Cricetulus griseus: one gene and its partners. The protein of the gene in region 1 purifies or fractionates together with the protein of each later gene. This does not show direct contact. Links are inferred from orthologs where the notes say so. Each region holds a gene or a part of one and is shown in the gene's direction. Other genes may lie near its edges.

The links.
Region 2: the proteins of Slc12a6 (region 1) and Lgals3 purify together in Homo sapiens (affinity purification with mass spectrometry; 3 studies listed by BioGRID and IntAct, counting the BioPlex papers as one, with this or other methods). This does not show direct contact. The link is inferred for Cricetulus griseus from reciprocal best matches to the Homo sapiens genes SLC12A6 and LGALS3.
Region 3: the proteins of Slc12a6 (region 1) and Stk39 purify together in Homo sapiens (affinity purification with mass spectrometry; 3 studies listed by BioGRID and IntAct, with this or other methods). This does not show direct contact. The link is inferred for Cricetulus griseus from reciprocal best matches to the Homo sapiens genes SLC12A6 and STK39.
Region 4: the proteins of Slc12a6 (region 1) and Clgn purify together in Homo sapiens (affinity purification with mass spectrometry; 3 studies listed by BioGRID and IntAct, with this or other methods). This does not show direct contact. The link is inferred for Cricetulus griseus from reciprocal best matches to the Homo sapiens genes SLC12A6 and CLGN.
Region 5: the proteins of Slc12a6 (region 1) and Rab6b purify together in Homo sapiens (affinity purification with mass spectrometry; 4 studies listed by BioGRID and IntAct, with this or other methods). This does not show direct contact. The link is inferred for Cricetulus griseus from reciprocal best matches to the Homo sapiens genes SLC12A6 and RAB6B.

The regions. Positions count from the first base shown.
Region 1 is NC_048599.1:66,076,396-66,082,358, reverse strand, and holds the start of Slc12a6 (solute carrier family 12 member 6), read left to right. Parts: upstream 1-2,407; 5' UTR 2,408-3,388; coding exon 3,389-3,659; intron 3,660-5,963.
Region 2 is NW_023276807.1:203,422,064-203,427,528, forward strand, and holds part of Lgals3 (galectin-3), read left to right. Parts: intron 1-2,125; 5' UTR 2,126-2,129; coding exon 2,130-2,147; intron 2,148-2,675; coding exon 2,676-3,032; intron 3,033-4,159; coding exon 4,160-4,248; intron 4,249-4,942; coding exon 4,943-5,108; intron 5,109-5,465. UniProt on the Homo sapiens protein: Galactose-specific lectin which binds IgE. May mediate with the alpha-3, beta-1 integrin the stimulation by CSPG4 of endothelial cells migration.
Region 3 is NC_048599.1:106,732,972-106,739,166, forward strand, and holds the start of Stk39 (STE20/SPS1-related proline-alanine-rich protein kinase), read left to right. Parts: upstream 1-2,281; 5' UTR 2,282-2,474; coding exon 2,475-2,709; intron 2,710-6,195. UniProt on the Homo sapiens protein: Effector serine/threonine-protein kinase component of the WNK-SPAK/OSR1 kinase cascade, which is involved in various processes, such as ion transport, response to hypertonic stress and blood pressure.
Region 4 is NC_048596.1:159,050,791-159,056,255, forward strand, and holds part of Clgn (calmegin), read left to right. Parts: intron 1-559; coding exon 560-752; intron 753-1,496; coding exon 1,497-1,686; intron 1,687-5,465. UniProt on the Homo sapiens protein: Functions during spermatogenesis as a chaperone for a range of client proteins that are important for sperm adhesion onto the egg zona pellucida and for subsequent penetration of the zona pellucida.
Region 5 is NC_048597.1:211,401,443-211,406,907, forward strand, and holds part of Rab6b (ras-related protein Rab-6B), read left to right. Parts: intron 1-1,796; coding exon 1,797-1,850; intron 1,851-2,029; coding exon 2,030-2,135; intron 2,136-3,224; coding exon 3,225-3,336; intron 3,337-4,585; coding exon 4,586-4,679; intron 4,680-5,465. UniProt on the Homo sapiens protein: The small GTPases Rab are key regulators of intracellular membrane trafficking, from the formation of transport vesicles to their fusion with membranes. Rabs cycle between active GTP-bound and inactive GDP-bound states.

The DNA.
Region 1 (5,963 bases):
TGGAGTTATGGATAGTTTTGAGCCACCATGTAGGTGCTGGAACTCGAACCTGGGTCCTCAGCAAGAGCATCAAGTGCTCCAAATTTGCTGTTTAGATTTTTAAAAATGTATGTTTATGGGTATTTTACCTCCGTGTCTATGCATATGTGTGCTAATACCCACCGAGGCCAGAAGAAGGTGTCAGATCCCCTGGGACTAGATCTAGACAATTAATTATAGCCTTTATGTGGCTGCTGGAGATAGAACTCTGGTCCTCTGGAAGAGCACCCCTGTCTCCAGTCCCCACCACTATATTTTGAGTTGTGGGATAACAGGTGTGCATTACCACCCTGGTTTATGGTGAGGATCGAACCTAGGATTTGTATGCTAGGTGAGCACTCTACCAACCCTGGAAGTTTTTTCTTTTCTTTCCTTCCCCTCTCTTTCTGTTTTGGTTCTTTATGTAGCACTGGCCACTCTGGATTGCACTATGTAAACCAGGCTGGCCTTAAACTCACAGATCTACCAGCCTCTACCTTCTGAGCACTGTATTACTGGCTGTCCCACCACACCCAGTCCCTGGACGTTTTCTAACTACCAACTCAGTGAAATCTGTCTGGTAGGAGGTGTGTCTTCTTTGTTTTTTCAGTATTGAATATAATTCTGTCCTTACAAAAACAAATAAAAGATTAGCATTCTGTGCCACCAGCAGTGCAGATCAAAATAAAAGACTAACCTGGAAATAGTAGTAGTCGATATGGAGGAGAAAAGGAAACTCATGAATCTAGCAAGGACTGAAAAGATCGCCTGGATAGTAACATCTGAGACATACCTTTAGTGAGCTTGATTATCAGTTAGTGTTTGCAGAAAGGAAGAAGAGCGGCAAGAGTGAGCTAGGTGGTAGATATAAGTAGATGCAAAAATTGTGCAGAAACGCCAGTGTGTCTTTTTTTTTTTCCTCATTAATGGAAGTTTAAGCCTGGCTTTCGATTTTCAAGGGAACGGGAACAAGAGGCAGGAAAGTAGCTACACTGAAGATGAAGATTTACAGGCATTTAAAAAGAGACATCTGAAATTTTACACTGACGCCCGGCGCCAGCATGTCTTTATAAAGTCTGATATTTGAATGAACTGCAAGCCTGCCTTAGAAAGTAGATCCCCCGGGGATGGCTCCAGGGCTTCTGATACATTCATACAGACATAAGCAGGCAAAACACCAATGAACATACATTTAGAAAGAAAGTAGCTGGGTGGTGGTGGCTCATGCCTTTAATCCTAGCACTCGGGAGATCTCTATGAGTTTGAGGTCAGCCTGGTCTACAAGAGCTAGTTCCAGGACAGCCTACAAAGCCACAGAGAAACCCTGTCTCAAAAAACATATAATATATATCTCCTTTATATGTGAGTAAGTGCACCGCTTCCATGCCTTGTCTTCAGCAGTTGGATCCCCTAGAACTGAGGTTACATGCAGTTATGAGCCAAATCATGTGAGAACTGGGAACCGAACCAGCAGGGTCTTCTCTAACCATAAGCTGATTTAACTCTTTGCAAGTAAGAGGAACCAAGGATCCGGGCAAGACTCCAGCTAGTTTCCACATTTTGATCAAACCTATAAGAAGTTTTCAAACGAAAGATTATGGAACTGAAATTTATTAAACATCATGATGCACTAAACACTAAACATATCTAGTTGACAGTTTAAAGTAGGTCAAACACTGGAAATGGAGTAGAACAGATACCTCAATGCCTTCTCAATGTCTATATAGTTCTCTTTAATGGAAGTTTAAGCCTGGCTTGGGATTTTCATGGGAACAGGAACAAGAGGCAGGAAAGTAGCTACACTGAAGATGAAGATTTACAGGCATTTCAGAAGAGACATCTGAAATTTTACACTGAGCATCTCATCTAGGATAAATAGATGTGGTAATGGGAGGTTTGGGTGCCATAAAGGTAAGGTTTCCAGAGAGACTCTAATTAAAGATGACCCCTGCGGTCCCGGGGTAAATGGGCATTGACTGCCCCTGAGCTGCATCCAGAGTCCACGCAGCACAGGTGACACGAGAAAATGCATCCCGCCACACACGTTCAGACCCGGAGGCGGACTGCAGTTCCCGTCGTGCTCCACGTGAGAGCCGCCGGCCCGCGCAGGCGCGCCGCACGCTCGCTGTCTCGGCTCTGCAGACTCCGGGCGGGGCTGCTGGTGCCCGCGGGACGGCGCCGCCCTCCAGCTGCTCCCCAGACTTCTCAGGACGGTTAACCTCGAATGAGGAACGAGCGGGGCGGGAAGGGGAGGGCTGCGGCGGCGCGGGTACTGCCCGCCGCGCCCGGGGCGGGGGGCGGCGAGGTCACGTAACGGCCTCGGGCGTCTGCCGGGGAGGGGGCCTCCTGCGCGCCGCGGCTCCGAAACAGTTAGCGGCTAGTAAACAACAGCTGCGCGCGCACCCGCATCAGCTGGCGCGGGATCCCGCACCTGCGACCTCCTCCTTAAACCTAGCCGAGACCAGCCTGCGTGGCCGTCTTCTCGGCTGAGACCCAAGGAGAGCCGGCAAGAGGCCACCCGCGTCGGCCCGGGGGAAAACGCGTCCTGTCACACGCGGCACAAACACGGCGAGAGTCGTGGGCTCGAGAGACTCGCGACGACCTGCCACGACCCGGAGCTGCCCTGATCCGCTAGTCGCCGCCTCCAGCTCCTCGGTCAGGAAGAGATCTCGAGGAGGCAGGAATCCACTCTGCCCCGGCATCCTCTCGTTGCTCTCCTTTCTCTCCATCCTGTAGTGTGGGGGTATTTTTTTCCCGTTATGCATGTGCACCTCTCCCACCAGACCCAAGTGGATTGTCGACCTCAAAAACATCGGGTGGTTCAGCACACACCTCCTCCCAGCCAGACCTGTGGGGTATTCACCTGATACACAACAGGTGGCCGGTGCACACCTTTTCGCAATCTGATCCACGCTATAGTCGCCTGATAAGGGTGGGCCTGCATGCTGTTTCCTCAGCTAGAACCGTGGGACACTCCGCAGATAAAGGACTAACTACCTCACCAGGACCTGGGGGTTGAGCAAGAGAGAGGCGTCACCAGCTGCTGTGAGATCATGGCATGGAGCCCTCAGCCCTGGACCAGGGGAGATAGCTAGGATTCCGAAGGAGCCAAGTTATACAAGATTAGCATCGTTTTGTTCTCATTGTTTTTCAAAAATTATTTTTCAGTTACTGGTGGTGTACTTTATAGAACAGTTGCCTTGAATTCTAAGTAGAAGGATTCTTAATTGGGCCTTTGTGGGATGTAAATCAAGGTAATTGAGGTTTTTTTTTTTTTCAAGTTTTCTATTTTTGCAATCAAAAGTACCTAGCGTAGGAGGAAGAGTTTTTGTGAGCTTTTCCTTTTCTCTTTCTGGAAAAGGGGGGAAAAATGCATCCTCCAGAACCCACCACCAAGATGTCTTCAGTTCGGTTCATGGTAACACCAACCAAGATTGATGACATTCCAGGTTTGTCCGACACCAGCCCGGACCTCAGCTCTCGATCTAGTTCCAGAGTAAGATTTAGCTCCCGAGAAAGTGTGCCAGAGACAAGCCGTAGTGAGCCTATGAGTGAACTGTCTGGGGCCACTACTTCTCTGGCAACTGTTGCCCTAGATCCTTCCAGTGACCGGACCTCTAACCCCCAGGATGTGACTGAGGGTAAGTAGAAACCAGAAGACAGGGTGTTCCAACCCCTGGGTTGTTCATGCAAGGTAATTACCTACTCTGTTTTATAATAATCACCAGGAATTAAGGACCACTTTTCTGTGATGCTTAGGAGCCTGGGAATAATAGTGGCCATAGTAAGTCACTGCAGTGGTCACTTGGCCTTTTGGAAGATATCTGGCAAGAAGGCAAGGGAATGCATATTTTGATATCCTCATTTTTGTCTTCTTATAACTAAAGTGACTATTTTTGGTTAGAGACAAACAATTAACTCTCTCACAACACAGAGAATCCTAAACTGTTAACATTTAATGGGCTGGGTATGTACTTCCTAGACAGCTTTGAGGCTTTGACTCTTAACAGTCAGCTTTTGGGCAGGTTGCAAGGATTAGCTACTGCTTACATCTTAATGGCTTCTTCCAGAGATTTAGCTGTGCGCCATAATTTTTTTTAAATTTATGTTCTTATAGAGTGTTTAAAGTAGCTAAGTTCACTCAAGGAGATGCTATTCTTTTGAATGGAACTTGCAAAGAGGCTTCTAGTGCCCATTCCCACGTCACTTGACTGCTGAGCTTTAGACAAACTATGTTGTGTATTTTATTGGGTTTTCGTAGTCAGGACATATAGGAGCCTCTTCTGCTCATATTGACTGCTTCCCAAACTTGACCTTGAACTTCATAGACTGGCTTATGTTAGAAGTTTTCATTTGATTTAGTTTCATGCAAAGAGAGATAAGGCATCTGTTTCAGACTAAAGAAAAAAGTTTGAAAACGGCCACCTAGTTTTATGCCACATCCTGACCAGTGTAATCTTTCTAGTTAAAAAAAAAAAAAAAAAAAATCCCTTAAGGTTCCTAATGACTCCTAACAATTCTGTTCTACTCAAGTTTGAAAACATGGCCTTGGCCACCAACTTGTGAAAGCAAGAGTGACTTGCCATTTCCGGCCTCAGGAAATACTGTTCCTCCTGACCTTAAGTGTTCCGGAAGCCAGAATAGTTTTAGTTCCTCAATTTTGTTTATTTTTAATGTCTCGAGACAAGATAGACTTGATAAAGCTTATAGTTCTAGAATTCACTAATCCTTAACTAGTCATTTTTTCTTTTATGTCAGTATTATATGTTAATTCTTTTTTTGTCCCCCCCCCCCCCCCGCAGGGTTTCTCTGTGGCTTTGGGGGCTGTCCTGGAAGTAGCTCTTGTAGACCAGGCTGGTCTCAAACTCACAGAGATCCTCTGCCTCTTCCTCCCAAGTGCTGAGATTAAAGTCGTGCACCACCAACACCCGGCTATGTTAATTCTTGCTCTAACTGCTTTCCACTGCTTACTAAACCTTACACTGGGTTATATTCTGAATAAAAGATTATAATTTCTTCCTTTGCCAAATTTTTTTATTTGTTTGCTTATCTATTTATTTTTGTGACAGGATCTCATGTAGCTCAGCTTGACGGTAAACTTTCTGTGTAGTCAAGGATAATCCTGAACTCTTGATCCTCCTGCCTCCACCTCCAAAGTGCTGAGATTGAAGGCCTTCTCAACCACACCCAGATTTATGTGATGCTGAGGATGGAACTCAAGGCCTCTCATGCACTTTCTGAGCTGAGCAACATCCCCAGCCTGTACCAAATTACTGCCAGATTACAGTTTTAGTCCTTAATCCATCACACTACATTTAAATTGATAAAATGCCAATTCAAAACTATAGTCTAGACAAGTCCCTTCAAGGAGTTCTGATACCTTTTTTGATTCAGTCCTGTATTCTAGTAAATAAAGTCAGGTTTTCCATCCCTATATCCCTACTCTAAACCATGACTACAGTACCTACACCACTTTGTTGTTTTTATTTACATACTATCTTTCCTGGCCAGGCTGTGAAGTTCTTGAGGACAGTTTTTGCACCTAGTATATATAATATGTGATGTCAGTTCTATTTTGTACTCAATGGTGAGTTGAAGAACTTCCAGACATATCTAAAGAGACAAATTCAACAAAAGTTAAAAAGATAAGCTGATAAAGGAGATGAATAGGAAGTGTTGAAGCAGAGAAGCTTATTCTGATGTATATTGGAATTACCTAGAGCTGTGGGTCATGACCCCTGGGGAGTGTCAAACTACCCTTTTATAGGGTTACCTAAGGCCATCAGAAAACACAGATATTTACATTACAATTCATAACAGTAAAATTACAATTATTAAATAGCAATGAAAAATAATTTTATGATTGGGGTCACCACAACATGAGGAACTGTATTAAAGGGTCACAGCATTAGGAAGGTTGAGAACCCCTGAGATAGAGAATTGTT
Region 2 (5,465 bases), on another chromosome or scaffold:
ACCCTCTTGTCTCAGCTTCCCTGAGGCAAGGGTGGCTACCACCCTTCCTTGTAAACTTGGCTAGTTTTAAAACCTGAAACTCTTGTTAGTTTTTATTGCCTTGCTTCTGCACCTTTACGTAGGGTAGACGGTAACAGCCTAGATTGGTTGGTTTTCAACCATACCTGGTTTTGGCCCTAGGGGATATCTGGCAATGTTTGAAAGCATTTTGGGCTGTCATAAGTTATAGATTAGTAGCGTGCTACTGGCCTCTAAGGGCTTGAAGCCAGACACTGCCGAAGGGGCGGGGAAAGAGTAATCAAAAGTGCTAAGCTCCCTGCCCATTTTGAACTTGAAAACTGTCCTCTAACAGGCTCCAAAATGGACACAGGACTATGTAGCCTTGGCTGGCAGGGAATTGCTACATAGACCAGGCCTGGCCTCAAACTCACAAAAGATCTATCTGCCTCTGTCTTCTGAATGCTATGTGCCACCACGCCCAAGCCAGGTTTTATTTTCTTGTGAAAATTATGAAGCCAGGCACTGTGGCTCATGCCTTCTGAGAGGCTGAGGGAGGAGGATTGCCATAGTGTTCAAAGCCAGAATGAGCCACTGGAACGTGGTATGTAGTCCAAGCCGGCCTCAAACTCATGGTAGTCCTCATGCTAGAGAATGCTGGGATTACAGGCAGGAGCCACCACATTCACCTAATAATGTGAGTTCTTGGGATAATTGAGTAAAATACCACAGGTGGACAAATGAAGTCAGAAATTACTGATTATTTCCAGGTCCAGGTCATTCTGGTGGTCACAAAATGACTGCAGTGATTCAGAGCTCAGCTAGAACTGACCCTGGTCCAAAGCAGCTCTCTTGTGTTGCTTGGCACTAGATTGTTTGCCAAATATGCCAAGGCAAGAAATTTAATCCCCAGCACTGGAAGGAAGGAAGGAAGGAAGGAAGGAAGGAAGGAAGGAAGGGAAGGAAAGAAAGAAAGAAAGAAAGAAAGAAAGAAAGAAAGTAGTTCCCAAACCAAAGCTGCCCTCCTGTCTTCACTCTGAGGGAGCTGTTGCAACAGGGGTAGGTGGTGCTTTTATGGGCATGGCCCTGGGGCAGGAGCAGGAGCAGGAGCAGGAGCAGGAGGAAGCAGGGTATGTCTGCAAACCAACCCTGAGGCAGCTTTGTGCAAGACAAACCTGTCTGACAGCATCTGTGCCCCACATGCGTCTGTTCCCATGGCTTCCTGGCTGCCCTTTGTTGGGCTGCTACACTGCTGAACATTTTATTTGGGATAACAAGTACCTTTAAAATAAGTGAGGCACAGTGGCTCACAGCACAGCCGGCACTTGAAAGACTGAGGCAGGAGGACCCTAAGTTCAAGGTCAGGATGGGCTATATAGAAAGACAGACTTTCTAAAACATAAAAGAAAACACCTCCAAATCCAATGAACCAAAGGCTCCCAGATGTCACCTGTCCATCAAATCTTTGTTCCAACGCCATCTCCCTTCCCAACTCACAAGTAAACTCTCAGATTTGAATGTCCCAACAGAGTCCCGCAGCATTGATCACACCCTTGTATGAATGCATCTCATGTCCCCTGCTGGTCTGTGGGCCCTGGGACTGCATGGAAAGTGGGGGCTCAGAGCCGGCGTCAATGTGTGCCAATGCAGGATAAATAACCAGGCGGCAGCCATGTCAAGCTGTCTTGGAGATCTCAATAGGAGCTGACACACAGCTTCCCTCCAGTGTCCAGAAGGTCTGGGAAGAGAAGAGGGGTGACCTGTGCTGCTTGGGAATCCTTTGAAGGGTAAAGACAGCCAAGAGAAGCCACACCTTGTACCGTATTTCATCGAGAGAAGGGGCAGAAATTCTCACCCTGCTCCTTGCCTCTCAAGGCTTTACTCTCAGAATTCAGAACATGAGATCCCAGTACCAAGGTTTAACTCCACAACTTAAGTAGGTTTGGAATTTAGGATGAAAGTATCCTGCCCCTCCACAAGATGTTTTTCGGTCCTACACCATTGACTTGGGCAAAATCATTGTAGACTGGAATTGTCCGCCACTGTTTGGGATGCTAAATCTCATGAAGGTTTGTAAAGTCCTTTAGGCTCAAATAATAACAACTCCCTTTGGCTTTTTTTCTCTTAGGAAAATGGCAGACGGTTTTTCGGTAAGTATTCCATGTTGGCTTTCTTAGCCCCACATATCCATACAGTTAATGGCTTCATTTCTACCACTAAGCTTTCCCTTTGGCCCTCCTAACATGACATTCCATCTGGCTCAGTTGTCTGCTCCGGGCCTATTAGCTGGAGGTTTGCTTTTCCAGCAACAGATTCCAAGGAGAGACATGGCCTCTGTAGCAGAGCAGTGATGTCCCTGCTGGAAGCAGCCAACAGATGTAGCTGTTTCTCATGTTGATTAAAAAGTGTGGGCTTGTAAAAGATCAGTTCCTGGTGTGAATTAGAAGAATTTAGTCCTCCCTGACCTGTGATGATAAGAGACCAGAATAAAACAAAATAAACAGCAAAAGCACAATCTTAAAGTCTGAGTCCTTGGGACTCTAAACAGTAGCATAGGGGAGGGCAGAGTGTGACCCTTCTCTTATTTCTCAGCTTCCTAGCTCACAAATGCCTGTAGTACTGTGAATTTTATTTTGTGAATGAGTCCTATCCTCTAATTGTTTGTTTTTTATTTACAGCTTAATGATGCCTTAGCTGGTTCTGGAAACCCAAACCCTCAAGGATGGCCTGGTGCATACCAACCTGGGGCAGGGGGCTACCCAGGGGCTTCCTATCCTGGGGCCTACCCTGGGCAGGCTCCTCCAGGGGCTTATCCTGGGCAGGCTCCTCCTAGTGCCTACCCAGGCCCAACTGCCCCTGGAGCTTACCCTGGCTCAACTGCCCCTGGAGCTTACCCTGGCCCAACTGCACCCGGAGCTTACCCTGGATCTGCACCTGGAGCCTTCCCAGGGCAACCTGGAGCACCTGGGGCCTACCCCAGTGCTCCTGGGGCCTATCCTGCTGCTGGCCCCTATGGCGCCCCCACTGGAGCATTGGTAAGAAGGAAGAGTTGTTTCATGGGCTTTATAGACAGGGGAGACGATGTTAGGGGGTTATCTTTAAGGATGCTGCTTGAGCCCTGTCTTAAGGGCCAACCACAGGGCTGTATTAATGTGTTAAAAGGAAGGTTCATATTGAGTTTATGCTGTGACTTGTTAGTATAGGTTGTGGTAATGAGCTAGGCATAGTGGTACATGTCTTCAATCCCAGCACTCGGAGGCAGAGAGAGGCAGGTGGATCTCTGCAGGTTTGAGGCCAACCTGGCCTAAATAGAGAGACTCTGTCTCAAAACCTAATTATATTTTATTATGGTATTATTATATTATTTTTATACTATGAGAAGTTTATCATTAATAAACAATAGCCTGAGTGGGGTGGCTCATACCTATAACCCCACTGAGTGCTTTTCAAAGCTGCAAAGACTTGCCTCAAACTGGGAATGCAGGAAAGGGAACTGATGGGCAAGGGGCAGGGGAGACACCTCCAGCATATACCTGTGTCAGGAGCTTCCAGTCCACAGAGCAGCTCCAGGAAGCACATATAGGACTAGTGCAAACCAGGGCCAGAAACGAAAATTTGGGGGACAGCTGAACCTGGGAGGCAATGTCATAAAGGAGACTAGAGGCAGGGGCAGAGTTCTGGGGGTATCCATGCTACCTGAAACACTTAGCTCAAACTTGTGAAATGAACTAAAATGTTCATTCAACATATACTCAGATTTTCATATGCAAAGCACTCTGCTGGTGACCTGTGAGCACAGAAGCCCCAGGTGACACAAACCTTTTCTCAGGAAGCAGAATTACAGTGCTGTATGTCATGTGACAAGGGACTGTTGGTCAAGTCTACCTTAAAATGTTAGACAAAGGATGAATAATGGGTTGAAACAATTCCAGTGATGATCCCAGAACATCTTCTTCTTATTTGTTAATTTCCCAGTTAACATTTGTGCACACAGGAAACTTCATCACTTTAAGCTCTGAGCAAGGTGACCTCAGAATGTAGATGGGTGGCCTAGGGTTCTGTGTTAGTCACATGCATTGTAACAACGTTAGCAATGTAGTTTTCCTTTCCCCAAGCAAACCCAATACCTTACTGATACACACATGTTCTTGTCTGTTCCCAGACAGTGCCCTATAAGCTGCCCTTGGCTGGAGGAGTCATGCCTCGAATGCTGATTACAATCATGGGCACAGTGAAGCCCAATGCAAACAGGTACACGGGGTGATACCAACAACCCAACAAAGCTGTTGATTGGTTTGGGAATAAAGATTATCTTTTTTTTTTTGCAGGGGGTGGGGGGGTGGGGGAGGGGGATAGGGGGACTCGAGACAGTGTTTCTTCTCTGTGTAGCTTTGGAGCCTGTCCTGGAACTCACTCTATAGACCAGGCTGGCCTTGAATTCACAGAGATCCACCGGCCTCTGCCTCCCGAGTGCTGGGATTAAAGGCGTGCGCCACCAATGCCTGGCTCGAAACCCTGTCTTGAAAGAAAAACAAAAACACCAACAAAAAAAGTGTATCTGTGAAGGATCAGGAATGATGGCACCAAAGTCAATGAATACCACCACCACTACCCCCCCAAAAAATAAACAAATGAAAAACAAAACAGCTGGTGGCACACACTTGGAATCCCAGCCCTTAGGAGGTCAAGGTAGGAGGCCAGCCTGGGCTACATAGTGAGTCCCTGTCTCAATGAGCAGACAACACGTATTGCCCTGCTAGAGTTTTGAGTTGATCACCATAATGTGGATGGGCCCGCTCTTCTTTTGAGTAGGAACTCATACTCTGGCTTATTTCCTTCCTGTACAGAAATCCCTACATATTATAAAAAGGCTTGCTTTTTAGAAACGGAGATGCTCTTGACTTGATACATACTTTAATATCTTTAATTTTCTGGTTTAAAACAGGATTATTCTAAATTTCATGAGAGGGAATGACATTGCCTTCCACTTTAACCCTCGCTTCAATGAAAACAACAGGAAAGTCATTGTGTGCAACACCAAACAGGATAACAACTGGGGAAGGGAAGAAAGACAGTCAGCTTTCCCATTTGAAAGTGGCAGACCATTCAAAGTAAGTTACTGCTTCGGTATGCAGGCCATGCTCTCTCATGGAGGGTTATACTCGAAAACCACACGCCTATCTGGGCACCTACCCAATCTTCCTCCCCAAGAGACCAAGCTTAGCAGGCTGGGGATGTGTCCAGGAGAGGCATGTTCTCAGTTCCTTCAGGAACTTCATGATTGTCATTGGACAACTCCAAACTTATACTCTTCTAAAGGGTTTAAGGATGAATGTCCACTCACTATGGGGAGTGTGTGTTTCCTGGCCTTTCCCAAACTGGCTATAAACTAACCAGTCCTATAAATTAATATGTCATTAAGAAGTTCCTCCCCATGTTGCTGTTTTTAACTTTTAGGTATTTTAGGA
Region 3 (6,195 bases), about 41 Mb from region 1:
TCCATAAATAACCAAAGAAATTAGTACTTGTACTTAACACTTAAGAATATAGGTATTTAAGAGGCATTTGATTTTGCCTGGAAATTGATCACTAAATTTAAATTGTGTTTCTGGTCAAGGATACCATGAAATCATAAATCTTTTTCAATGCATATAGGAATCATTTATTCAGCGATTTGAAAGCAGAGAGGGAAGATAAAGGTGCATTGTTTTCTCTTTTATTTATTTATTTTTCTCATTTATGTGTTTGCTTGTTTATTTATTTATCTGTTGTTGTGACAGAGCTTTTCTGTCTAACAGTTCTGACTGTCCTGGAACTCCCTCTGTAGACCAGGCTGGCCTCGAACTCACAGAGATCTATCTGCTCCTGCCTCCCAAATGACGGGATTGTTTTTTCTTTACATTCAAACCAGGGTTTTTGAACCTCAGCCATGTTTTGTGTCATATTAATTTTTTTTCCCGTGGTAAACGTCCCTTTCCCAGCCATAATATTGGAGCTTTCATTCCTATGTTGAAACCCAGTCTTCAGTTTAAAATCACTAATAACCTTGAGCTCGTGATAATTCTTACAAATGGCTTCCCTGGTTGCCATTTTGAAAGCAATGGGCTGGGGGCAGGTATCTAGTCTGACTAGGGGACAGTTGTTCTTTGTGGGTAGCAAAGTGATCTGTGTTTGACTGGGACCCCTGAATCATGTTTTCTTACCATGTCTAAAGGCTCCCATGATCAAAAGTCAAGATATGACTTTCTATGAGAAGTAGGGGGCATGCTCAATTAATCTTTCTTGCTTTCCTTTAAAAGCAGTCCTTAAAAGTTCTTTGGATAGGAGCAGCTCATGCATTGGTAAACAGGGCAGGCAGGGCTTGTGATGAAGAGCCGCCCCCCACCCCGTGTTCATCAGAGGCTTAGATTTTGTTTATAAAGGAGTGTAGTCTTGACAGCAATTAAAATGAATATACTTGCTTTTTAAAAATAGCATATCTGCATAAAAGGAAGCACACATTCTTAGTTAAACGTGCGAGTTGCTATATCATAACTCTTCCATAGTGTTCTAAACTTACCATCAGTTTGCATCACTGTTTTCACTAGACAACTGGTTCTTCTCCTAGCAGAAGTCGACGTTTCTTCTGAATTATCTTATAAAAAGTTTAAGATCTTTATTCCTTTAAGAGTTTGAGGGAGTATTACACGTGCTTTGTTCTTTCTCAAACTTTGCTGCTCCCTGAGACCCCATCAGCCTAAAGCCAGCCACAGAACCAATAAGGCTACTGAGTCACAGCAGCATTCCAGCCAGAGACAAGAATCATTTCATCGTGGTCACTCTGTGAGGGAACAGAGTTGAGCATTCAAATGTGACACCTGCAATTAGAAGATCTCTGGTTTTGCCACAGCTATTTTAAAGATGAGGTAATTTGGGGAGTGTTGAAAAAGCAGCATTTATTTAAAACTTTCCATTGCAGTTCATTTATGACCCAGCAAGTATCCTTATGTTCTGTCAAAGAAACTTGCTAGCTGGTCTCAGGGTCTTAAAGGGTTAATGTGACTGTTCATGTATTTATTTGTACTTGGTATTGAACCTAGGAGTTTATTAGGCAGGCACTATACCACTGAGCATGGTATTAAGTACACAAAAGGTGCTGGGGGGTGGGGTGGGGTGAGGTGGGGTATAGAACCAGGAACCTTAGCACACTAGGCCAGCGCTAGGTTATACTCCTAGCCCTTCTCCACTTCTTGTAAATTCACAGCCCCTGACATCTAAGTGGGATTTGAACAAAAGAACAAGCCAGGGACTCGGGGAGTCGGGTTTCATTTAAGATCAGCCCCGCGATTCCATTCCGCAAGGTGCGAAAGGGATACTGCGAGGTAAAGCACCGGAAAGTTACAAGTCGGGTTATATTTTAACCGGCGTCCTACAAAACCGACGCCGTGTAGGTGTCTCACTCGCTAACTTGTAAAAGAACTCCAGGTTCCTGAGCCGGGGAGAGTTAGCCGGCCGAGAACCTGGCAGCCGTTCAACGACCCCGCCCTCGGAGTCCCAGGGGGGCTTCTTCTGCAGAGCGCGATTGTCTAGGGCGGAGGTGCCGGGAGGGCACGAAGGGAGTGGGGTGAGCCCCGAAAACACCCCCGAAGCCGCACGCCTCTTCGCTCCTGGAAACTTCCCCGGCAGCGAGCAGGGCGGGAGGGGGCGGCGGTTCCCCACGGCGCCGAGAGCACCGTGCGCGCGAGGTTCGGGCGCGCGGCGGGCGCGCGGCCGCCGCCTCCTCCCGTCCCGCCTCCGCCGCGCAGCCTCCTCCCTCCGCCCGGCTCGGCCTCCGGCTCCCTCCCCTCGTGGCAGGCTCCGGCGGCGGCGGCTGCGGCGGACGGGGAGGGCGTGCGCCGGCCGAGAGGTGTGGGCAACGAGGCTAGGGAAGTTTCGAGTGGAAGGTCGTCCGTCCGCCCGCCGGCGCGTCCCCTCACTGTCCTCCCGCAGCATCATGGCGGAGCCGAGCGGCTCGCCCGTGCACGTCCAGCTTCCCCAGCAGGCGGCCCCGGTGACAGCAGCGGCCGCGGTGGCGGCCCCGGCGGCCGCGACATCAGCACCGGCCCCGGCTCCGGCGGCGCCCGCAGCTCCGGCCCCGGCTCCAGCGGCGGCCCCAGCCTCGGCCCCGGCAGCTCAGGCGGTCGGCTGGCCCATCTGCAGAGACGCGTACGAGCTCCAGGAGGTTATCGGTCAGTGAGGAGGGTGCTGCGGGGCCGGTCCAGGCCGGGCTCCGAGACTGGGCGGGAGTGGGTGCGGGATGCGGTTTTCCTGCCTTCCTGCACGCCCGGAGGCAGAGCGGCCGGCTTCGGGGCCTACCGGCTTCAACAGTTATTTTATTGTATTTTTTAATTTTTAATTTATCCCTTCCTTCTCTGAGCGCGGCTGCTGCAGGAGGTGGCGCGGCGGATGTGACTCGCACTGCAGACGAGCTGCATGCTGCAAACTTTTATCTCCGGGATCGCCGGGGCGGTGGAGCTGGGACCCGGTAACGCCGCATCCTCCTCCCTCCCTCCCCCCGCCCCGATAAGCTCGGGGGCCGCAGCCCGTGGCGGGTGACCACGCGGATGGGCTGCTGGGGCGGGGTGGGGATGCGGGGGCGCCGCCCTGGGCTTCCTCGCCCCCGCGCCGCGCCGGGTGCAACGCGTCCTGGGAGACCCTGCGGGCGCAGCGGCTCCTGTGCCTCCTGCCGTGACCTATCGGTGGGTAGCCCGTCCACGTAGTAGCGGCGGAGGCCCAGGCTCCTGCCCAGGCCAGGGAGGATGCTGGCCTTCTGACAGCCGCCGCCGCATGCCGGTCCTGAGACCCGGCTCTGCGCGCGGTGTGCCCGGGTACCTGCCTCCCTCCGTGCAGGCGCGCCGCCTGCTGCTAGCCCCGGGGCCGGACAGCGGGCGTGCGTGCTGGCTTCCTGCCCTGTGCCGGGCGTATCTGCTGAGATGAAACTCGAGGCTGTCCGCGATCCGCGCCCAGCCTTTCGGTGTCTCCTAGGCAGCTCACTAATATCATCTTATCTTACATTTTTAAATACCTGGCAAAGTCGAAAGGGAAGAAGCCGGCGTTTATTTCTTTGAGCCAAACACGTGAAGGGCTAGGGGATTGTGTTGTCCTCCAGCTGAGAACCTTACCTACAAGATGATTCAAAGTTAAAAGTTTTGTCAGTGAGCCCTGCTGCCAGGCAAAGTGGGCCCCCCCATCATGTAACCATATGAACTCCGTAGTGGGGTTGTTGCTGCCCCATAGTCTTGATATTTAAGGAGAGAGAAAAAAAAAGGATTCAAGTTATCCTAGTTTTTTTCCTTCACTTTAAAAGGTTTCTTGATTTTTCCTACTTGAAAAATTACAATTAGTATAATTTCACTGGGCACTCAAAGGAGCCACTTTTATCTCCCGTGTGAATGAGACCGCCAGAAATGCATACACGTATGTATGTATGTATACATCTATGTTTCACAGGCAGAGGTGTGCCCACCAGCGAGTGTGTAGTGATGGTGTACGTTGGTGTATGTAAAAGAAGCAAGTAGTCCTTATAGATATTTGTAGACAAGGTTCTTTTAGTATATTTCATAATTTTTAGCTGAAGACTCTAGGGATGAATCATCATGACACTGTCAGGGTTTAATAACCCCAGGAGCTTTCAAAGCCCAGAGTCCTTAGTGAAAACTGTTTTTGCCTGCCATGTAAGTCTTTTCACTCTGAACTTCTTTGCTGCCTCTCCTGTTTGTGCATTCTCCCAGCGATTACTCTGGGTCTCTGCTGTCCTACAAAGGCTCTGGTGTTCACCTGCCACCTTGGCAGGCTCTACCCTTTGAATGCCTACCATACATACACACATGGACACACACACAAATACACATAACATATATTGATGCTGATGAGTGAATCAGGGACATTACTACTGAGGTAAGGCTTCCATCTCCAAGGGGTCTCCTTTGCCTAGAGAGTCTTCCCAGAAGCTTTGGTCATAGTTTGGTGGGCCTTTCTGCCCCTCTTTTTTATATACTCCATAGTCTAATCTCATAATTTTTAATTGCTAGTTGAGGTCTTAGGGCCTTCCAAATTCCCTGCATTTTGGTGTCTAGTAGCAATACAAGGATAAATAAACAATGGTCCCTGTCCTTAAGGACTTCATGAGTTAGGAGACAAGGATAAATGGTCCTTTAGGGTGTGCTGAGTGAGGCTGGGGTGAAGGGAGGCAGATGCTCTTCAGAGAAGAGTCAGATAGGATTGCCTACTGGTTTTGAAGTCTGAGTAAGGGTTTGTAAAGTGCTTGATTGTTTGTGTAGCTGCTTTCCCTAAGAAACAGTGGATTCCCCTATTTACACCTCAGAGTCAGTTGGTCTCTTCTCCCATGCAGGTTTCCTTAGGACCAGAACAATTTACATATAACTAATTTATATTCCTATGTGGTTAATCATTACGGTTAGAATGTCAGCTTTGACTTTGGAAACAGTATTTTGAGTTGGCCTCTTTTGTGAACTAAGGAATAAAATCATTTTAGTTTAAGTTGGATCACTTGCCAGGCCTTCTCTGCTTGTGTTAATGATGTTAATTATGGTTGCTCAATTTTAGTGAAGACGAAAGAAAAAAGGGAATTTATTTACCTGAGGAATTCAAGAGATGAACCGGCTTATTCCATGTTGGTTTTACACATTTGTGATGTGAGAGGGCTTTTGTATGCTTTATATGGATCTCATGTTTTCCCATCTAAGAGATGGCTATTTGGAAACCCCTGTTATTGAAAAATTGCTGGAATAGGGTTTTTCAAGGACTTAAATGTTTATGGAGAAATACAAACCCATTCCCATTTGGCCTCTCATTCTGGTTGAATGATTCAGAGTGAGTTTGTGGTTAAGCACTTTGCCTTAAACATTATATTCAAGAGGTTAGCAGTACAAATACCAAACCCATTTGGAAGTCAGTGCCTGTCCCTGCCATACAGCAGGTGGCCTAGGAGGTGACTCCAGCAGTGTGAACCACAACCAGCAGGAGGCTCAGCTGTGCCAGAGCCTAAAGCCCGGGAGGGAGGGAGGAAGGGAGGCAGGCAGGGTGCTTCAACTTCCAGCGTGGCACAGAGCTCAAGGGCCTTTCTTCTGTTTCCTGCTGGGAGCAGGACAAGGCCTCGGGATTAGGAGAGGCTAAATAAGTTTTCTAAAATCTGAACAGACCAGGTTCAGTTATTTAAGTTCTTCTGTTGTAGAAAAACAAACAGAGGGTTTTCCAACTCTAAAAATAAAGTTTTGTCTTTGTTGCATTGCTGTTCTGTTATAAAAGCCATGGAGAAACTATAATGCTATTAGGAGTAATCTGGTTCAGAAGTTCAGGCATGACCTAGAAATCATGTCAGATCTGTCAGAGGGGGTTGGTTTTACCACTAACGGGGGTGGGGTGGGGTGGGGGTGGGGGGGAGACGTGGAACTGTTGCGTTCCTGTGTCGGGGCATTTCGGATCATTCTGTGTTCTTATGTACAGATCTCCGTTCTCTGGAGAGGGTTTCAAGTCTGTTCATGATCTCTAGCTTTCTTCATGTCCCCTTACCCTTCAGTTGCTTCTTCAGAAGCATGAAGGGCACCTCAGTTGTGCCGAGTTTGTTGGTGGTATTAATAGTCTCTCCTTGACTCTTTAAACAAAGAATAAAAGATGAATTATGTAAACATTTACTTGGGCATCCGTAATAGGAT
Region 4 (5,465 bases), on another chromosome or scaffold:
AAGGTGGGAACTGCCATCTCCATACTCGAGATGTGATGGCACAGGGATTCAGAGGGCTCAGAAACTCACTCAGCCAAACACGCCTGGTCCCTTGTCAGTGGCAGCATTGGAGCTGCAGTATCTGAGTGCAGAATTAGGTGCCGGAGGACTAGGTCCCACATGGCGTGGAATGGGGAGTTCCTCTCTTCGTTGAGCACATTTTACTAAGGGTCATTTTCTGGTTTCCTTCTCAACAATGGTAATGAGTAGTCACTTAAGTCTAAGGCCACCATCGTGCTTCATTTCCTATAAACTGTTCATATACATTTACATGAAGCCTGAAGCTTTTTCTGATGCTCCTCCTGCACCTTCAGGAGGAAAGTAGCCTGTGCTTTTCTAAAGTAACAACAGATGATTTGAGAGCCAAAGTTTTCACTTTGCCATATCCTTTATTGTCATTTTGTTAATGCCTCAATAAGTTGGCATTTAATGTGGTTTGTGAGCGCCACCCACTGGACAGAGCAGAGTCATGGACCAAGGTGTTACTCTGAACTGACTAGACCGTCTTCTCTCTTTGAAGGAAAACTTTTATGATAAAACATCCTATACTGTCATGTTTGGACCAGACAAGTGTGGAGAAGATTATAAACTTCATTTCATCTTCAGACATAAACATCCCAAAACTGGAGTTTTTGAAGAAAAGCATGCCAAACCTCCAGATGTTGATCTGAAAGAGTTCTTTACAGACAGGAAGACTCACCTCTATACCCTTGGTACACCACTCATTCTTTCCTTCCTTCCTTCCTTCCTTCCTTCCTTCCTTCCTTCCTTCCTTCCTTCCTTCCTTCCAAGTGCTTGTCAACCATGGAGTTGCTGAGGGCTTGTGCTTTCAGGAGAGAACAAATGTCTCTGCCTTTAAGAAGTTTATCTTTGGGGAGATAGGCTGTGCCAAATAATAACACAAGGAGAAAATAAAGCACCCAATGGGGGCGAGGGGAGTTCAGAAGAGAAATGGAAGTCACATAAACCCAACTTTGTTGATAGGGTTTATGTAGAAAAATGTATGTTTGTAGGAAATACATTTTTAGGGGTAATATATACTGGGTCAGGAACTCTCAAATGGTTCTAAAACAGCTTGAGTTCTTTGTAATATACTTGCAACCCTTTAAGTTTGAGGGTTTTGTTTTAGTATAAGGCAGATTGGGTTATATTCTGTGACTGTAAAGAGGGACACTGTGTGATCAGGAGTCCCCACCAGGGTTAGCTAGTTACTGAGTAGATTTATCTGTGGAAATAATGAAAATTTTTATTATTTAAAAATGAGTTTAAAGCAGAGTTTGTCTTATTTTAGAAAGTATAGTAGCTAGTGATTTCAGCAAGTTTTGATTCAATACACTGGTTTTCCTAGTTAGGAGAAAATTGTATACATAAAGTTCAGGTCATTTTAGTGTTTAGAAGATTATCTTTGCAATGTCTGTCTGACTACTGACTATAAAGTATTAAAAATTGTTTTTTAGTGATGAATCCAGATGATACATTTGAAATATCCATTGATCAGAAAGTTGTGAACCAAGGGAGTTTGCTAGAGGATGTGGTCCCGCCTATCAATCCACCCAGAGAAATTGATGATCCCAGCGATAAGAAGCCAGATGAATGGGATGACAGAGCCAAAATCCCTGACCCCACCGCAGCCAAGCCAGAGGACTGGTAAGCCAAGAGTTGAGCTACTAGCCTGAACTGGCCCAAGATGGGTCAGTGACATTTACAGCCAATGAAACTCTTTTAACAGCATACTGTTTGCTTTGATGATTTAGTATGGAATGTTTTTTCAGAAATGGATGCTGCGTTTCTCTTTTTAATTTAAAATTTTCTTTAATATGTTTGCTTTGTTGCCCTTTTTTCATCATGTGTTCATCTATATGTATCAGTTCTACAGGAAGATCCATGACTGAAACATCAAGTCTTTGCTTCTGATTCCTGACTTGTTCTTCCTCATATGTGTGTGGTGTTCTTTATAGGTGCAGATTGGGTTTTTGTTTGTTTGGTTGGTTGGTTGGTTGTTTTTGTTTGTTTGATCATTTGTTTAATAATGACTTGGCTTTAGGTTGCCTGTCAGCATCTTATAAAGCCTTTGTGGGACTCATGATGTCATCATACTGAAGCATTAGTTATCTTTACTAGCCATGGATTTGTGTTGTTTCCACTGGGGGGGACTGAAGGTTTTCCTTAACTGAAATGCATTCAGTTGATGAGTCCCTACAGGTTGAGGTTGGGTGGTGTGGATGCCAGTGTATCTCTCTTTCTACCAAGCTAGTCTTTGTCCTTCAGATATGTTCTGTGATTTCTACATAGAGACCATGTACTTTTATTCCTACGAGCCATAGTTTTTTTTTTCCTGCTTTCTGCATAACCCTTAATTTGCTACATTGTATTTCTTTTTGTATTTAACCACTGTTAGGTTGTGCTGTAAAACAAATGTCCCCAAACTTACAGGCAAAGATGACACGTCATCACCTCAGTGGGTTGAGGCAGGGATGTGTAGAGGTGGCCTGGAGGAGGGACTCCGACTTCATGGGAATGCTGCCACTTCCTAACCAGCTCAAGTGGCTGACCCCAGGAGGTTTCTACCATTCCCTATCTGGCCTCCCTTTAGGTGTGTTCATAGCATCTTAGATCACACCTCAGAAGTAGTGATCTAAGAAAGGGAGACAGCACTCCTGAAATTGCCATGATATTTTATAACTGGGTCTAGAAATAGCATGCTGACACCTGCTATCCCAGCTGGAAGGAGACATAACCAAGATGTGAATACAAATCCTACGAGTTAAAAAAAAAAAAAAGAAAAAAAAAGAAAAATGTTCTTTGATTTCTATGAGAGTATAAAATGATTTCACACACTTGTTGAAATGCCTGTCCTCCCCCCATTTTCTTAGTGAATTATAGTGACTGCTTGTCTAATGTTGACTTACAACTCACTCACCTGCTCCACAGTTATTATCTTCTTATGTCTTTTGTTGGGTTCTACTTATGTTTTTTCAGATTCATTAAAGTAAAAATTTTGTGCTGCTAAGGTCATTTGCAGTGCATAGTTCAGTGGGCTCTGACAGACACACAGATGTCAGCAGCATTTCCATCTTCCCAGGAGGACCTCGTGTTCTGCACCCAATGAGGTTTCCGTTTCTGCAGCTTGGCAAAGCACTGTGTAAAATGGACTCATAGAATGTGGCTCCTCCATCTGCCTCCCGAGCCGCCCTGTGTGGGTGCCTTTGTCTGTAGCAGTTGCACTGTGCTGGGACTGCCGTCATTGGTTCACCCATTCACAAATCAATGGAGAACTGCCATATTTTCCAGTTTAGTGTAATCACAAGTAAATGTGTGGTAGACATTTACAGATGATTTTGGATGGACATGAATTTCCCCTACGGAGGGTGAACGCCTAGGAACGGATTTGCTGGATTGCTCAGGAAACGTGTGTGTGGATTGATGCGCCACCTTCCTGAGGCCCGTACTCTTCTGCACCCCACCTCCATGCAAGGTTTTCAGCTGCTTTTCATTTAGAGCATTTTGTCTCCGTTTCCCTTTTCCTTTTGGCCATTCTAAAAGGTTTGCAGTGAAATCCTACTGTTTTAACTCACATCTCCCTACTCTCACTTAGCATCTGGTCTTTTTACTACCATTGAATCACTTCCTTGCTGAAATATCATTTTAACTTTGGCAAATATTTTAGAAATTTCTTATTACTTTATTTTGTGTGCTTGTGTGTATGTGTGTACCAGTCCCACAATGCCTGTGTGAAAGTCAGGACATCCCGAGGTATTCACTTCTCTCCTTCCATCATGCAGATCTTAGGGTTTGAATTCAGGCCATCGTGTTTGGCAGCAACCACCTTTACCCACTGAGCCATCTTTCTGACCTTAAAGTGGGTTTCTTACAGGCAATATGTACTTTGTTCTTTCTTCTCTGCTTCCAGTGAGTTCTCCCAGCTGTTATATGTCTGAAAATGTGTTTATATCAACATAGTTTTTGAAGGATATTTTCCCTAACAGCTAAGCACTGCCGGGCAGCTTTCTCTGAGAAGGCACCCTTTTCCTTGAGGCTTTCAATTTATAATGGTGGGCCAATGAGCCCTGCCTAGTGTGCCATTTATTTTCAGTTTTAAAGTATTTTCCCACGTTACCAGTTTTCAACTATTTGGTTTTACTGTATTCTAATATGGATTTCTTTTTCCTCATGATTGTATTCCTCACAGTTCTTTGTGCTTCTTAGATTGTGGATATGCTATTGATATGGTGTGTAGATTGTGTCGTTGGTGTGGTGTGTAGACTGTGCCGTTGGTGTGGTGTGTAGACTGTGCCGTTGGTGTGGTGTGTAGACTGTGCCGTTGGTGTGGTGTGTAGACTGTGCCGTTGGTGTGGTGTGTAGACTGTGCCGTTGGTGTGGTGTGTAGACTGTGCCGTTGGTGTGGTGTGTAGACTGTGCCGTTGGTGTGGTGTGTAGACTGTGCCGTTGGTGTGGTGTGTAGACTGTGCCGTTGGTGTGGTGTGTAGACTGTGCCGTTGGTGTGGTGTGTAGATTATGTCACTACTTCATTGAGAACCTGGCAGCTTCATATGTGTCTATGTCAATGCTTGCTATTGTCTCACTGTTTTTTTCTTTGTCTTTATGTGAAAAGTCATTCCCATTTTCTCCAGTCCCTTGTTTGTAAACATTGGTGTGGCCACTTGTCCAGAACACTGGGGTCTTGTTCTTAAGAAAAGCCAACAGATCAACTCCTGCTGATTTAGAGAGATACTGACTGGTGGGGATGCCTCTCCTCTCAGGCAAACTGCTTTACAGAGGGCAGTAGCAGCAGCCTGCTTTAAAGGAATCATGTGATGTGTCTGTCCTGTCAGAAACGGCAATTGGCTTCCATGCAAACCCACTCTGCTTCAGATTGGTAGACCCAGGAAGAGGAAGTTGCCCTCCAAGTCCAGATGCTGTAGATAAGCTTCATGTCTGGTGAGATTTGTTGATTGGTGCTAGGAGATGCTGAAAGAAAGGCTGTGTGTATTCAGAGCCTGGTTCTGATGTCAGGTCCCCAAGTCTGTGCATTAGAGGAATTAGGTTTAGTCTGGTTTGCACTTGAGGTTCACGTGGGAAGGCATGAATGAGTTAGGATGTCAAGACGTCCACTTTCCACAGAGGTGATGTCTTAGCCGTTCTCCTCCTCACCACGCTCAGGCTCCTCAGGGCTTTCTTCCTAAGTCCCTGTAACTTCTTAAATTAAAATACTAGAATTAAGTGTGGAGAGTTATATTTTCTAAATGGAGTAGGAAGACATAAATTAGAAAAATCATAAAATGTTAATAAATTCAGCTGCTTGAAAAACATATGATTTGCATATGGCAAAAGGAACAACAGCAGACATGTGTTAAAGGTCAGGCATCATGTTAGGAACCTGTAGCTCAGCACTGGAAAAATGTGAGCAGGTGTGTCAGGGTGTCATA
Region 5 (5,465 bases), on another chromosome or scaffold:
ACCTTCTTTCTTATAGCACCTAGGACCACATGCCCAGGGGTGGCCCCGCCCACAATAGGCTGGGCTTTCCCACATCAGCTGCTAATCAAGAAACTGTCCCTGCAGACACGTCCACAGGCCATTCTAATCTGGTGGAGCCAAATGAGATTCCCTCTTCCCAGGAAACTCTTGTTTGTATTAAGTTGACAAACAAACAAAAAACCCTAACCAATCCGTAGAGGGCAAAGGGAGAGGGAGAGCAAGAGATGGAGAGGAGGGGGAGGGAAGGAAAGGGGCGCATGGGTGCTTCCTCTCAGTTTCTCCTTTTCGTTCAGTCTGGGCCCCCAGCCCATGGGTGATGCTCACATTCAGGGCGGGTCTTCCTACTCAGGTAAACTTCTCTTGGAAACGCCCTCACAGACAGCCCCAAGGTGTGTCTCCTAGGTGATTCTAAATCAAGGTGACAGAGATCTCTGTATTTACACTGACATCTCTCCTTGGTGTGTCTTCTGCATTCACTGCAGGCTTACACACGATGAAAGCTTTTCTTTCAGAGATTTTGTTTTAAATAAAGACTCAAGTGTAACTCACCACTCATGTTCCTCCTTCCTCTACTTCCAAAGTGCTGGGATTACAGACAAGGCTCGTGACTGGCTCACGGATATTTTTTCTTCTTCTTCTAAATTTGTAACTATTAACTGTTTATTATAGAAAATATAAAATATATAACAGGGAAGCAAAAATTGCCCAAGATGCAACTCTTCATTCAGATGCCAGTACACAGCATGCTCTCTTCATCTCAGCATCCAAGACAATATGAAACCATTCGTCTATTTCCTCTAGTGAAGCTGGCACCCTGCCACACACCTTGCTTTATACTGAGCCTTTTCACTGGGTGGCGGTTTCTCCAAAGCTGTATGTATTTTACAAGGTGACTCCAGGCGTAGGGTGGAGCACACTGCTGACGCTGTGCCCTGGCTGTTTGGCTCTCTGAGACTTCGTTACTACTTAGGGGTGGTGGCTCCATTTCACAATGACAGTATCTTAGTCCCAACTTATAGACACAGGATACAGGTAAGGACCAGAGAGGTGGGGTTGCCCACTAGGACAGAAGAGGCACCAGGTGGCACAGGGTGTGGGTGGCAGCCCTTGACTTGGCAGCATGAGGAGCAAAGAGCTTGTTGGGTTTTCTTTTGTTTTTGTTTTTCTAGACAGGGTTTCTCTGTGTAGTTTTTGGAGCCTGTTCTAGGACTCACTTTGTAGACCAGGCTGGCCTCAAACTCACAGAGATCCGCCTGCCTCTGCCTCCCGAGTGCTGGGACTAAAGGCGTGAGCCACCACCACCCGGCTCATTGGGTTTTCTAATAAGACATTATTGTGGATGGTGTACAGTACCCCCACCCGAGGTGGGACACACTGCTTTCTGTTCCAGGCAATGGCAAGCTCCACACACCCCCACCCCTGCAAACCCTCCCAAGAGCAACAGTGAACTCAAGTTCGAGGGAGAGGCTATGGGAGTTGGGGGGTGCTTGAGGCAGTAGGGTGCTCTACCTGGTGGGCTGTTCCTGGGGAGCCTCTCTTCCATGCCCCATTCTCTCTCACCCTTCCTGGAGCATTTTTCTCTCACTCTGCATAGAGTATTCTCTGAAAACAGAAACAAAACCTGTTCTCATCTTCGGAAAAGGATGTCAGTAGCCAGTGGAGGGACTTGCTTGGGTGTCCCCTCTGCTGTCTGTGCCACTGCCGGGGTCCCTGGGCTTTTGGCTCCTTTGTATGAGTCCTTTCCATTTTGACCTCCCTGTGCTGTTCTTTAACAGGCAACCATCGGGATTGACTTCTTGTCAAAAACCATGTACTTGGAAGACCGTACGGTGAGTTCCCGGTCTCTGACCTAGAAGGGGGCATTGTCTGATTTATTCCTCCACAGCCCCCAGTTGGGCACTCTTGGAAGTCTCTGCCAAGGCCGGGGTGGACCTGGCAGTGCCAGCGTCATGGGGTCTGGGCCTCCAACTCCCTCAACCCCATTGATGCCTCTGCCTTGACACTCTAGGTTAGACTGCAGCTCTGGGATACAGCCGGGCAAGAGAGGTTCCGAAGCCTGATCCCCAGCTACATCCGGGACTCCACAGTGGCTGTGGTGGTGTACGACATCACTAGTGAGTTGGGGGCTGTGTTGGCATGAAGGAGCTCTTGGGGTTCAATGTGACTCTGACCAGACCTGTGTGTAGGTGAATATATATATTTGTGCTCAGTGTGGGGGTAGTGTGGGAGTTACCTTGGACCACTAGTGGGTTCACTGTCCTCCAAACTCCCGTGACAGACATGGCTGAACAAGACAGGGTCCTACATGTTGGGGAGGCAGACGCTCACAAGGCTAACCCTCTGTGCCCTCCATGGCCCTGGCTGACATATGTGCCAGCTCTAGGGCTTCACAGACTCAGTGGGGCCCAGAGGTTGGGACAGGCCTTATGCAGAGGCCAGCTACCCAAGAGCATCTCGAGGAACACACCTGGGAGGGCCTCAGGCTGGCTTCATTCATAGAGGATGCTATGAGGCTCCTGAAATCACAATGGGTAGGGACATGTCTGACCCATGGCTCCCACCTGCCACCTCAGGGCTGCTTTCCCCCGTGTCTTCCTGACTGCATGCTCTGTGTATGCCCTGGCGATAGGGGAGCTAAAGGACCCGTGTCACTGGCTGTGGAGAACAGTCACCTCCCTTCCTCCAGGTGCTGGGCTTGGGTGTCACCCTGTGACTCTTCTGAGGAAGATGCTGCTGCCCTTAGATGGCTTGCTTCTGGGTTCATGTGCCTCTGGGGTGGCCTTCCTTCCATGGGTTGCAGGTTCTCTTCCCAAGCCAGCCCAGCCTTCCTCAGACTCCCTTGAGCATCCCATGGAGGGACAGCATTTCCTAGGGGCTGCCATGTCCTCTCCTCAGCGCTCTGCAGCTCAGCCAGGCCCAGCGCCTTCCTTCCACCCTCTGCTGTGGGTCTCATATCAGCTCGGACTCTTGTGTGGCCTCTAGAGTCATTGTTCTGTATAGAAATGGTGACAGCCTAGCTTTCCAGATATGGTGACTTCTCTCCCTTGGGTGGCTGAGCAGTGCTGGAGGCTCTCCAGGGTCACAGGGCAGACTTCCCTGTATAGCCCCAGCCTAGTTGGGATGTGGAGATTGGGTTAGTGTCTAGGTATAAGCTTGCCTCTGGGACCTTTCCTTCTCACTCTGTCCCCACTTCCTGCCTCCAGATCTCAACTCCTTCCAGCAGACTTCTAAGTGGATCGATGATGTCAGGACAGAGAGGGGCAGTGACGTGATCATCATGCTTGTGGGCAACAAGACGGATCTGGCTGACAAGAGGTATGGAAGTGCTCTGGGTAGCTGGACTGTGCTTCCTCACCTGTCTGTGGCCCAGGAAGTCTGAGGTGAAGAGAACAGTAGGGCTTGCCTCCACGAACAGGAACACTGACCTGCCTGTTAGACCCCACACACTGCAAGCTTTTTGTCTCAAAGCTCCATCTTCCTCAGCCCAGCAAAGGCAGGGTGTGGCAGGGACCTGTCTGCACAGATGTTCCCATTACAATCCCATTACAGTAGCCTCTGACACAGTGGCCCCCTGGGCTGGAGCTCCTGTCCCCATGAAAGCTCTGCATTAACATGGGACCTGAAACCCAGGTCCTCAGGAATGAGTCTGTGGAAGGTCAGCAGAACACAGACCTTGTCCCCAGTCATCCTGATTTATCCTGTGTCTGGGCATAGAGTGTTACCGGAAGAGGCATCTTCATAGCTTCAGTGTCTCTGCCCACTAAGGTGTCCTTTCCATGTGTGTCTACTCTCAGAACTCTGTGCTGACTTGGACAGGTAAGGCCATGTGTCATGGTTTCTGATACAGCCCGTGGGCTTCTTACAGTATCCCTGCCATTAAGACATAATCTGAGTCAGAGATGAGAGTCAACCTAGAGGGGAGGGAAATGGGCTCCTCTGCAGAGCTGGGGGCCTGGGGGTGGGGTTACTTTTAATTTTGGTGTTTGCTTTAGGAAAGGTCACTGACGATTCCTCCCAAGAAAGGCTGTGAGTGTCTGGGAGTTCTAGTTCTAATGGCTTCCGAGAAAGGCAATGGGGATGTGGCTCAGGTGTAGAGTGCTTGCCTTCCATGCATGAAGCCCTGGGATCAGTCCCCAGCACTCATAAACCAGGCTCGGTGGGATACGCCTGCAGTCCCTGTTCTAGAGAGGTGGACACAGGAGGATCAGAAGTTCAGTGTCATTCTTTGCTATCTCACAAATTCAAGGTCAGCCTCGGCTACATGTGACCCTTCCTACCCCCCCCACATGTGGGGGGGGTAGCCTCACTCCCTAGTTCAGAAGACATGGAAGAAATATGGAAAAGGGCCAGAGTCCTCTATGCTCAGGCACCACCTTCTTACTAGACAGACTACGGCTGGCATTCTGTCAGGGACCCGTGGGCAGTGAGCCTGTCTTCAGGACTGACCCAGGGGGCTGGCAGGCTCCCTCTGTCCACCCGCAGTCCTTCATCTCAGGTTGCCTCCTCATATCTGCCAGGGTTGCCTCTCTGCCACCTGATCTCCTCCTCTCCCCTTCATTTCTAGGCAGATAACCATCGAGGAAGGGGAGCAGAGGGCCAAAGAACTGAGCGTTATGTTTATCGAGACCAGCGCGAAGACCGGCTACAACGTGAAGCAGGTGAGGACACAGCTGGCGATGTCCCTGTCTTGCTCAGGTCTAGAAGCCCTCACCTGGGACCTTCCTTGCCCTGAGTTGGCTAGTGACTAGGTCAGGGCAGCTAGCCAGTGCATAAACCTATTACTCTGAGCAGTGGGGGATGGCACCGATAAAGTGCCATCAGCCAGGCAGGCTGGTCAGCCAGGGCTGATAAAGCAGGTGAGATGAGCCATGCGGATGCTGTTAGTCACTGGTCTCCACAGCTGTGTCAGGTGTGGGTCCCTGTGGCGGCGTGTGTGGACGAGGGTCCAGCATGGACTTCCACCTGGCTGAGAAAGCTGTGGTTCCTAGCATCTCACTTCGCTTCAAATGAGAGCACAAGGTATTTAGTCTGATTAATGTGTTGGGTTTATGTCTTGGATGTGGCAAGAACTCGAGGCCATGAAGGACAGCTCAGAAATGGGAAAAAGAGGTTCCCATGCAGCTGGGGATGACAGGAGGGAGAAGAGGTGGAGCCCAGGCTGGAGCAGTCATGTTTAGCTGGGATTTACAGAACCCAAGTAGTTCATGAGCAGAGCTTAGCTGTTCGGGCTCCCTAGGCTTAAGAAAATCCTGTATTGTGACTACTCACTCATCTATCGCCTGATCCTCAGTGACGGACAAAGACAGCCAGGCTCAGTCTTAGTGAGTGCAGTGAGTCTCTCACTGACAGAAACCACAGCTGTCTTCTAGTTGCTTCACCATGTGACAGGCATCCTGCATTTCACACCCTTGTGAGCCTCAGCATCCCACTAGCTAAGCCTGCTG